Linked DNA regions of Caenorhabditis elegans. The protein of the gene in region 1 purifies or fractionates together with the protein of each later gene. This does not show direct contact. Each region holds a gene or a part of one and is shown in the gene's direction. Other genes may lie near its edges. The genes, in order: R05H10.3 and clp-8.

Region 1 (5,014 bases):
ATAAAAAATTCTAAATTTTATATATTTTTCGACATTTTTGCGTTTTTTTAAATTTTAAAACATAATTTGCCAATTCTTCCTCAAAAAAAATTTTCTTGACGGAAAATATGTGTTGCAAATTTACAATTAATGTTTCAAATTATAAAACAACGAAAAAATGAAGAAAACCCATTAAAACAGCCGGAAAACTCAAAAATCCCGAAAATGACGTCACTCATTTGCGCGGGAATTCAAAAATAAATAAATAATTCAGCCGTTTTGTAATTTTTTTTTTTAAATTAAAAAAAAAAAATCATTAAAAAAATTAGAAAGCTTTCATAAATTTTTTCACTGTCTTTTACTTTTTGACCAAAAAACACTTTTATCAGAAGATTTTCGAGTGAAAAAAAAATAAAAAATAAACTTTTACAAAAATTTAAAAAATTATAAGATTTTTCTAAATTTTAACTTTAATTTTTTTTCGATTTATGAGCAAAAAAAAATCATATTCATCTTTTTTTTGCAAAATTAATTTTTTTATATTTCAACAGCAAATTTTTTAGAAATTTCCTAAAATTTCCTTTTTTTTCAAGGTACAAAAAAGACGGACTCGAAGTTCTCGCATTCCCGTGCAATCAATTCGGTGGTCAGGAACCATCATGCGAGATCGATATCGCCGCGTTCGTCGCCGACAAATTCAAATTCGAGCCAACCCTGTTCCAAAAAATCGACGTAAACGGAGACAACACTGCTCCACTGTACAAGTTCTTGAAACAGGAGAAGGGCGGATTTTTGGTCGACGCGATTAAGTGGAACTTCACGAAATTCCTCGTTGGCAGAGATGGTCACGTTATCAAGAGATTCTCACCGACTACTGAGCCGAAGGATATGAAGAAGGATATCGAGGCCGCACTTCAAGCCAAACTTTAAATATTTTTTTTGAGCTGAAAAAATGGAGAAAAATCGAGTGAAAACTTGGGAAAATTCGATAAATCTAGGAATTTCTATGAATTTTTGGATTTTTTTCGAAAAAATTTGAACAATTTTGCTAAAAATCTATGAAATTTCAGATTTTTTCCAATTTTTCCAAAAAAATTCAAATAATTATTTATTTTTTGAATTTTCTCAGAGTTTTTGTTCCGACTTTTCTGAATTCAAAATTTTTCACAATTTCAACAAAAAAATTCAAATTTCCCAGATTTTTTTGAACTTTTTTCGAGAATTTCACTAAAAATTTATGAATTTTACAGATTTTTTTGCAGAAAAATTAAATTTTCCGGTTTTCTCAGCTTTTTTTTTTCGAAAATTTCACTAAAAATCTGCGAATTTTACAGATTTTTATTTGCAGAAAAATTAAATTTTCCGGTTTTCTAAGCTTTTTTTTCGAGAATTTCACTAAAAATCGAATTTTCCAGATTTTCAATTTTTTTCCCTCATTTTCACTCAATTTTCTCCTAATTTTTTTCCACAAAAACCCCGTTCCTAATTTAATTTCTAAGTACTCTAGCTTTTCCCACTTCTCGCTTTGTAAATATCTATTTTTGCACAAAAATAAAGTAAAAAATTTTTGCAAAAACGTTTTTTTTTCAAATTTTAACATCTTTTTCTTGTCATCATTGTGCTGTCAATTTTCGCAGAGTTTCCTACTTTTTGTTGCTGATTTTTAATTTTTTTTTCTCTAGTTTTTGAGGTTTTTTTCTGGAATTCCACGTGGATTTTACTGGAGATTACACTGATTTTTAAAAATCAATTTTTTTTGGAATTTAGTGAGATAAAATCGAAAAAAAATTAGCTTTTCCTCGATAAAATTCGATTTTTTAAAAGATTTTTCAATAATTATTTCAGACAAAATGGACCTTTTACTAGAACGGCTCGTCTCGATTTGCTCCGTGTACGATGAGCTCCCGCATTCATTTGACGACACACTAATCGATAAACTCGTCGATAGCATTCAGTTTGAAGGTTATTATACATTCCTGGAATATTGGCGCAATTCAGTTTAAAGGCGCATGGGACTTTTTTCTCAAATTTAAAGAAAAACAATTTTCCGGCAAATCGGCAAATTGTTGGACTTGAAAATTTCCGGCAAATCGGCGAATTGCATTAATTTAAAATTTCCGGCAAATTAGCCAATTGCCGGACTTTAGAATTTCCGGCAAATCGGCGAATTGCTGAAATTGAAAATTTCGGCAAATCGGCAAATTGCCGGAGTTGGAAATTTCCGGCAAATCGGCAAATTGCAGTAATTGAAAATTTCCGGCAAATTGGTCAATTGCCGGACTTTAGAATTTTCGGCAAATCGGCGAATTGCAGTAATTGAAAATTTCCGGCAAATTGACCAATTGCCAGAATTGAAAATTTCCGGCAAATCGGCAAATTGTTGGACTTGAAAATTTCCGGCAAATCGGCAAATTGTTGGACATGAAAATTTCCGGCAAATTGTGATTTTTCACATTTTTTTGATATATGAAAATATTTAAAGAAAACGGGAAAATTACAACAAAAAAAACTCAGTGTTTTGCATTTTGATATCCGGCAAACGACAAACCGGCAATTTGCCAAAAATGAAAATTTCCGGCAAAGTGGCAATTTTTTGCAGAGACAAGCCTCACAGTGGTTCGGAATTTCGTTCGGAGCATCGATTTCGAGAGTAAATGCATTCCGATTCAGATGGTCATTCGGTTGCTCGACGAGGCGATGACCAAGCATGTAAGGGAATCGGGATGGAATTTATAAAAGTTCGGGGAAAATCACAATATTTTGGCGCGAAAAAAATGCAAAAAAATTGCACAAAAATCACAATTTTCGAGCTCTAAAACTAAAAAAAATTTTTATTTTTCAAAAAAAAATTCCAGAAATTACACGACGACGACCTTGTGCTCGAATTTATTCAAGGAAGTGAAGCTCTTCTTCCCCAATCCCGTCCACTGAAGCTTCTGGATGATCTTTTCAAGCTCTATGTCAATCCAGATGTCTTTGCGATTCGAAAGCCTGAAGCATGGCTGTGTAAGAATCGATTTTTGAGGAAAATTGATGGAAAAATGAAGAATTTGGCTACAGAAACCTTGAAAGTTTCAATGAAATTAAGGAAATTAGTGCGAATTTTTAAAATTTCTAAAAATTCAAGATTTAAAATTTTCCGCCAATTTTTGCATGAATTCTGGAAAAAATTAATTATATCAACATTATTGATTTTTTTTTGCACAAAAAAAATATATCCGAAAATATTAATAATTCTTAATAATTCGGAAAAATTAAAATTCTTAATTTGAAATTAACTTTTTTTGCCAAATACCTGAAACAGATATTTGTGAGCGTCGACAAAATCGACAATTTGGCAGTTTGCCGATTTGCCGGAAATTTTAAATTCCGGCAATTTGCTGATTTGCCGGAAATTTTCAATTCGGGCAATTCGCCAATTTTCCGGAACTTTTTTTCAATTCCGGCAATTTACCGACTTGCCGGAAATTTTCATTTTCGGGAAATTGCCGATTTGCCGGAAATTTCAAATTCCGGCAATTTGCTGATTTACCGGAAATTTTCAATTCGGGCAATTCGCCAATTTTCCGATTTGCTAGAAATGCTCAATTCCGCTAATTTGCCGATTTGCGGGAAACGTTCAATTCCGGTAAATTGCCGATTTGCCGGAAATTTTTAATTCCGGCACTTTGCCGATTTGCCGGAAATTTTTAATTCCGGCATATTGCTGATTTGCCGGAAATTTTCAACTCCGGCAATTTCCCGATTTGTTGGAAATGTTTAATTTGGGCAATTCCGGCAGGTTGCCAATTTGCCGGAAATTTTTAATTCCGGCAAACTGCATATTTGCCGGAAATTTTCAATTCCGGCAACTTCCCGATTTGCCGGAAATTTCCAACTCCGGCAATTTGCCGATTTGTCGGAAATTTTGTAATTTCAGCAATTTGCCGATTCGCCGGAAATTTTCAATTTCAGCAATTTGCCGATTTGCCGTAAATTTCCAATTCCGGCAATTTGCCGATTTTCCGGAAATTTTCAATTTCAGCAATTTGCCGATTTGCCGGAAATTTTCAATTTCAGCAATTTGCCGATTTGCCGGAAATTTTCAATTTCAGCAATTTGCCGATTTGCCGTAAATTTCCAATTCCGGCAATTTGCCGATTTGCCGGAAATTTCCAATTCCGGCAATTTGCCGATTTGCCGGAAACTTTCGTTTTCGGCGAATTGCCCATTTGCCGGAAATTTTCTATTCATGCATTTTGCCGGTTTGCCGGAAATTTTCAATTCCAGCAACTTGCTGATTTGCCGGAAATTCCCACTTTCGGCACTTTGCCGATTTGCTGATTTGCCGGAAATTTCAATTCCCGCATATTGCCGATTCGCCGGAAATTTTTAATTCCCGCATATTGCCGATTTGCCGGAAATTACAATTCCGGCAATTTCTTGATCGGCCGAAAATTTTCATTCTCAAAAAATTCAAAAAAAAACCAAAAACAAAAAAAATGTTTTTTTTTAATTTCAGCCGTAATCCGCTGGGCTATCAACGAGATTGACCAGGAACACACATCCGTATTCCTCCGCCGTCGATATTCTGACTTCATCTGTCAAGTACCTTCCACAGAAGCTCGCCGGCTCCTTATCATCTCTGGAGCAGTGGAAATATTCGCGAGAAGAAGCCGCGCGAGCCCATCTTCGTGTATTGCCGATGCGGCGACACAGATCCTCAGCAGATATGCTATGGATTTGGCAGCCGAGGAATGTATCACTTATGTGGAGAGTTTGAGAAATTCGCCGAGGCAAGGCGAGAGGTCGCTGAAGCTTCTTGTCAAGTTGAAGGAGTAAGGGATTTTCAGGAATTTAGAAAACAAAAATTTTAAATGTTGCTAAAAAGTTACCTAAATTTTATTTAAAATTAATGTGAACAAATTTTTTTTTAGTAAAAAATTTTATACCTCAATTTTTTCATTAGTTTTGAGGTTTTTTTTCATTTGGAAATTCGATTTTAAACGTAATTATGTTTTTTTCTTAATTCACTCAAAATTTTTTAAATTCCGAA
Region 2 (6,112 bases), on another chromosome or scaffold:
ATTTCGGTCAATGAAGGGTTTTTGGTAACAAGTGAAGATGGTGAACATATAAAATATGTAGTGGATAAGTTTGGACAGGAAATTGTGAAAGAGCCGGTAATGTTTAAAAAAAAGTCAGTGAAACAATATATAATCTTCTTTAATATTCAGAAGGATAAAATGAGCATTAAAAAGTACACTGATAATAATTCCACATTTATCGCTGTAGTTGCATGGAACTTCGCATATGATCAGTTTCTACATGTTCAGTAAGTCCAATTTTTATTTTAGATATACGTTGTGCTTTTGTCCTTTCCAGTTTGCGTTACTCAATCACCGATGAACAATTGGTCTCTAGAAGTTTAGAAGACAATCAAACAGTTGATGTTATTCCTCCAAGGGGTGTTCAGGTAACTTTTTTTCAGTATCACATTCATCATGTAGATGAAATTGTAGATTTTGGTAGTAATCGAACAATATGCAATGCCGGAGATTGTGGATTTCCCAATTGACATTGATTATAAACTTTCAAAAGATGTTGATTCAACAATCAATGGAATCAAAAGAGGATGTCATCTTCCAGAAATATCTTCATCTCGATTCTTAGAGCAAGTTCACCGTGAGGAGCGAATTTCCGTGGCTGACTGTTTTCTGGATCTTCCAAGCAATTACTGTCAAAATTGAACTTTCTGTCGAATTTGTATCCCACTTCCGAATGAAAATTGATTATTGATATGTGAAATCGGTTTAGTAGAAATTTTTCAGAATTACAGTTCAACTACTCAAATTTGTGATTTTTGGTTGGGACCTTGGAAGAGCTTACTGTAATAGAGTTCAACTCTTCACCACGGGAAAATTTTCTTGCGAATTTTTTCGTCCCAAAAAAAAAGGAAAAAAAGGGTCAAGAACAAACAAACAAACATTTTTGTCACAGTCACCGATGACCTAGGATTGTCGCGAAGTCGGTGAATACAAAGATTCACTCGCTCACGACTTATTAATAAATCTAAGGATTTATTAACAAATGATTAAATGTAAAGATTGATTCATCGTTATTACGTAACACATGCTCTTCAATACTCAACTTCATCCGTGCAATCAATGACAGCTACTCTGTAAAAGGACGACGGCAAAACCCCAATTCAAACTACCGCCAAAAGGAGGATTCAAGGCGCATGAGGTCTCGCCACGACACATACAACAACGACTGCGACCGTACTCTTGTCATCATGGCGCAGCGCACATTGGCCTATATCGTCAGTCGTCGGCAGTCTGCATCGGGCTTCACCACCACAGCACGTGCCCGACGGTGGCACGTTTAAATGAATGTTTGAGTGTTAGTGATTCAAGGCTTTTCCCTTGAATCACTCGTAATAAATGAATTAATAGAATAAGAGTCTTTTGTTAATCCTTTCAGTACCTCATGGGCCGGAAACCACTCCGAAACAAGGATTTCCTCATCCTCCCTGGCTCAATCGGTAACTGCTTGAGCCGGGGGGTGGTTGAATATACATAACAAGCAAAATTCATGCACGGCCATGCGGCAAACGCCTAAAAATATTAATTTTACTGTGATAACTGAAATGTTTGAATTCAGTAATAATAATATAGAAAACGTTAGGTCTGAAATCATGCTTATTTTTTAACAGGCTTAACAAAGACAGGCACTAAAATGAGGATTTTTCTAACTTTTTGACAAATTAAGTACAAGAATTTTCTTACACTTTTATATGAATTTTGCTGCAAAAAGTGGTATTATCCTAATGAAATTACTAGTATTTGCCGTACAATTTTGATTCATTCGTCAGAATTTAGTTTATTAAAAACGTGGAATACATTTTTTTTTTCTAAAAAACATTTTGACAAAACAAAAGAATGTTCCGTAAAAAACCGTATTTTGTCATTTCTAAACTTTTAACGGAATGAATTCGCCCCAGGAAGAGGAGCTTTTGGAGCTAATAGAGAAATACAATGAGGATAAATATTGTACGAACATGAACTGGACTATATTTCTCGGTGATCACGAGAATGAAAAAGAAGCGAATGAAAAGTTTAAGAGCATTTTGGAAGATTGCCAGTAAGAATTTTTCAAATTTCATTTAGAAACACAAGCCAGTTTTCAGAAGATCCAAATCTGCATTCATCGATAAAGAGTTTCCACATGAGCCCAAGTCTTATATGACCTTTGACGAGCAATCGAAGGTATATGGGAAGTACGAGGTATGTTCAAAAGTTCTGTAAGACCCCTTGATTTTGGAAGAATCATCGAAAAAAAAGAATTGAAGAGATCAACATTATCAAAAATTAAGTCAATCGCTCATATTAACCTGAAATATGTTATGGGGTTATCCAAGTAGTGTCGTGAAATTAAAAAGTGTAATTTTAAACACATTTTCCCTCATTCAAGTACAGTTCAAAACAATAGTATTTCAAAACAGTTTGTGACGCCATTTCGTGACATTTCCCGACTTTTCTCGACATTATCCAACAACCAGAAAGTGGACAACTCAATGAAAGACACACCAATGAAAGATGGTGTCCACAAAATGTGAAAATTCACAAAACTCGCTGCAGAAGATCAATTCTGATAAAACAACAGTGAAAAAATGTCGAGAAACGTCCAGAAATGTCGCGAAATTACGTCACAAACTGTATTTAAGTGCACGTTTTTGAAGTTTCTTGAATAAGGCAAAAAGTTTATTGAAATACACTTTTCAATATAACGAAACTATTTGATTAACCCCATTATAAACCAACAAATCTTGTTCTTTTAAAATTTCGTTCTATTATAATTATTTACTTTTGTTTGATTTATTTTTCTTTCAATGGAGTCTTACGGGTCTATTTTATTTTATGTATTATATTATTCAAATAACCCTTCTGCTCATTTATATTATGCATATTATAATATTTGGTTATATATTATCCAGTTACTAAAATAAACAACAATTAACTGAATTACCAAAAAACATGTGCATAGCTAAAAGTTTTCAGAGTTGGAAAACTTGGTTGTTCCCGAAAATCTGGCGTCGAATAACACCACCTTCCACCGACGTGTCATCCAGTTTGTCAGTTTATAATCCATTGACTTTCACCGCGTACGAGGTGTTTCAAAGAAAAGTTGGAGATTGTGGTCTTGTTGCTGCTTTGTCTGCAATTTCCACAAAGCCTGAAGTTATCATGAACATTTTTGATTCACTGCAACTATCGAAATACGGTGTGTATAAAGTAAAACTGTTTGTGGATGGTCAATGGAAAACTATCATCATTGACGATTATTTTCCGTATACAACAGATGGAATCAGAATTGGCGCTACTTCTGGGTATCAGGTATTAACAATTTTTGGATCAATATAATTTGGATAATCGGTAAATCGCTGGTCCTGGAACGCTTACGGGATGTAACTGGATTAATGATTCGTGATCGTTCCGTTTCCCGCCAGCGCCCTTATCACGTCCTCTCCACGTATACAAAAGTTTGCAAGAATTTTTTAAATTCGGTATGCGCACGGAGAGGACACCATCTCGGCAAACAACGGCACCTTTCTTGCGCATATCTTGCCTTCTCTTAATAAAGTTCATTCTTAATCAGGTCTCTTTAGAAATCAAAACAAAAAAGAAAATATTGATAGAACAATAGCGCACTTCTCCGCACTTCTTCGCCGTTCTCCACTGTTTGCTAAATGTTTTTTGAAAGGTGGAGAAGTCTACTAGAAAGCTCCCGGAAACTGCCGAGATTAGAGTGCGGACGTGGCGCAGATGGAGCGCTAACAATATTGTATATGATGAGACTAGAGCGCGCTTCAGGATCAGCAATTTTCCGAGTACCTACGATATCGTCAAAATATAGATTCATTGAACACGCGTAAACTTAACTTTCAGATATGGGCAGCGCTTATTGAAAAAGCTCTTGTTAAGGAATGTGGTAATTATAAAGGAATTCATGGATTTCAAAGTTTGTCTGCATTTTCTGCTCTTACTGGATCACCTGTGTTGCTCATTCCAGTTGCCAAAATGTTCAATAATCTTAGAAAATACTGGAAGACACTGATGGAGTTCAGGTTTGAATTTTCAGACTTCTAAATTATTGTACCATGTATTCAGAAATAATCAATATCCGATGGCATGTGGCACCTTGAACCGAGAAGTCAACGGAATACTTCCACAACATGCCTATACTATTATGGATATTGTTGAAAGAGATGGGCACAAACTTCTTCTTCTCAGAAATCCAAGTGGAGGCAGCGTTTGGACTCGAAATTGGTCAAAGGAATGGGAATGGTGGCCCGAGAATATGAAAGATCTCTTGGAAGGAATGATTCGAGGATCTTTCTGGATTTCGTGGGATGATTTTTTAAATGTTTTTTGTTCCATTTATGTTTGTCGTCATCGTTCAAATTGGTTTGCTTATTATGCCAAACTGGTTCTTAAATATCCAGAAGATGACGCATTTCCGGCTATCGATATCAAAGTCACTGAAAAGTGCATGGTCTGTATTTCGGCGGTTGACGACTGGATTTCTCGTGAGGTACTCTTAAAAACTGTCGAATTTCAAATGCCAAAATATGTTCAGAGGTATAGCTGGATTGCAGTACACAAGATCAACGGCATATTTTCTGATAATAAAAAAGTAGTTGCATGTGAGATCATCAACGATTCTACTCAGGATATCGATTTAGAACCTGGTATATACACTATCACAGTCATTTATCTCAATGACTGGAGCTTGGACAAACGAGACATCTCAATTCACTCTTCCCGACCAATTTCGGTCAATGAAGGGTTTTCGAGAACAAGGAAAGATAGCGTACATATAAAATATATAGTGGATAAGTTTGGGCAAGAAATTGTGAAAGAGCAGGTATTGTAAACAATGAAGTCAATATATAAGCCTTTTTAATATTCAGAAGGATAAAATGAGCATTAAGAAGTACACTGATAATAATTTCACATTCATCGCAGTAGTTGCATGGAACTTCACATATGATCAGTTTCTACATGCTCAGTGAGTCTAATGTTTTTTTAGTTATGTTCTACTATTTCACCTATTTCAGTTTGCGTTACTCAATCACTGATGAACAATTTGTCTCTAGAAGTTTAGAAGACAAGCAAACAGTTGATGTAATTCCTCCAAGAAGGCACCAGGCTAGTTTTTAGTATATTAGGCTAGTGATAAGCCTTATAAATAAACACATACGACATATCAAAAACACTCTTTCAGGTTTTGGTTGTGATAAATCTTGAAGCAATGCCTGAAATAGTGGATTTCCCAATTGACATTGATTATAAACTTTCAAAAGATGTTGATGCAACAATCAATGGAATCAAAAGAGGATGCCACCTTCCAGAAATATCTTCATCTCGTTTCTTAGAATATGTTCATCGTGAGGAGATAATTTCATTGGATGATTTCATACCGGAAATTGAAGTACTGTCGAAATTGAACTGATAAACTTACGCATTGTATGTCGAATTTGTATCCCACTGTCAAATGAAGTCCAATTGAAGTCCAATTACACTAAGGTCAATAGTTTTATTTGAAGGTTTTTCAGGATTTCGATGTCATGGTGGATCTACCAATTAATTAAGTTTGATGTTTTTAAATTTTTGTTAAAGCTTCTTGAAGCACACTGTATTGTATCTTGTTGAATTGTATATATAGCATTATTCATACCAAGCTGTGCTGATAATATTTCCGGTAATCGTAAAGAACTGTTAGTTTTACTATGATAATCCAACTTTTTAAATTAAAATTATTATAAAAACGTAGGAAAATGGTTGTTTACTATTAAAATCATACCTTATTATTAAAAAATGTTCAGAAAAAAACCAAAAAAAGTACCCGAGATGAAAAATAAACATTTTTAACGGCAACTACTCTTGGTCCCATCCAACTAAACAATTTTAGATAATTGTCAAGCTTCTATGATTAAACCCTTAAACAGAAACAAAATTTATGTATTCAAAAAAGTGAAACAAAAAAGAACATTGAAGAAGTTACAAAATTCAGCATAGAAAAAAAGGACGATGAAATCATGAATTGGTGTATGCAATGAAAAATTTGAAAAACTTCTCAAAAGTGATGTAATACATTTATTTGAAAGAAAAATTGGCAAATGGAACATTAAGAAAC

What was found.
Region 2: the proteins of R05H10.3 (region 1) and clp-8 fractionate together in Caenorhabditis elegans (co-fractionation; one large-scale study listed by BioGRID). This does not show direct contact.

The regions. Positions count from the first base shown.
Region 1 is NC_003280.10:14,868,120-14,873,133, forward strand, and holds the start of R05H10.3 (Dot/Icm T4SS effector), read left to right. Parts: upstream 1-1,824; 5' UTR 1,825-1,829; coding exon 1,830-1,941; intron 1,942-2,578; coding exon 2,579-2,688; intron 2,689-2,834; coding exon 2,835-2,985; intron 2,986-4,480; coding exon 4,481-4,796; intron 4,797-5,014. Other genes in the region: gpx-2 (Glutathione peroxidase), read left to right, coding at 573-909.
Region 2 is NC_003279.8:13,252,240-13,258,351, forward strand, and holds clp-8 (Calpain catalytic domain-containing protein), read left to right. Parts: upstream 1-1,901; coding exon 1,902-2,056; intron 2,057-2,102; coding exon 2,103-2,199; intron 2,200-2,973; coding exon 2,974-3,309; intron 3,310-3,861; coding exon 3,862-4,040; intron 4,041-4,083; coding exon 4,084-4,840; intron 4,841-4,886; coding exon 4,887-4,984; intron 4,985-5,033; coding exon 5,034-5,124; intron 5,125-5,200; coding exon 5,201-5,428; 3' UTR 5,429-5,490; downstream 5,491-6,112.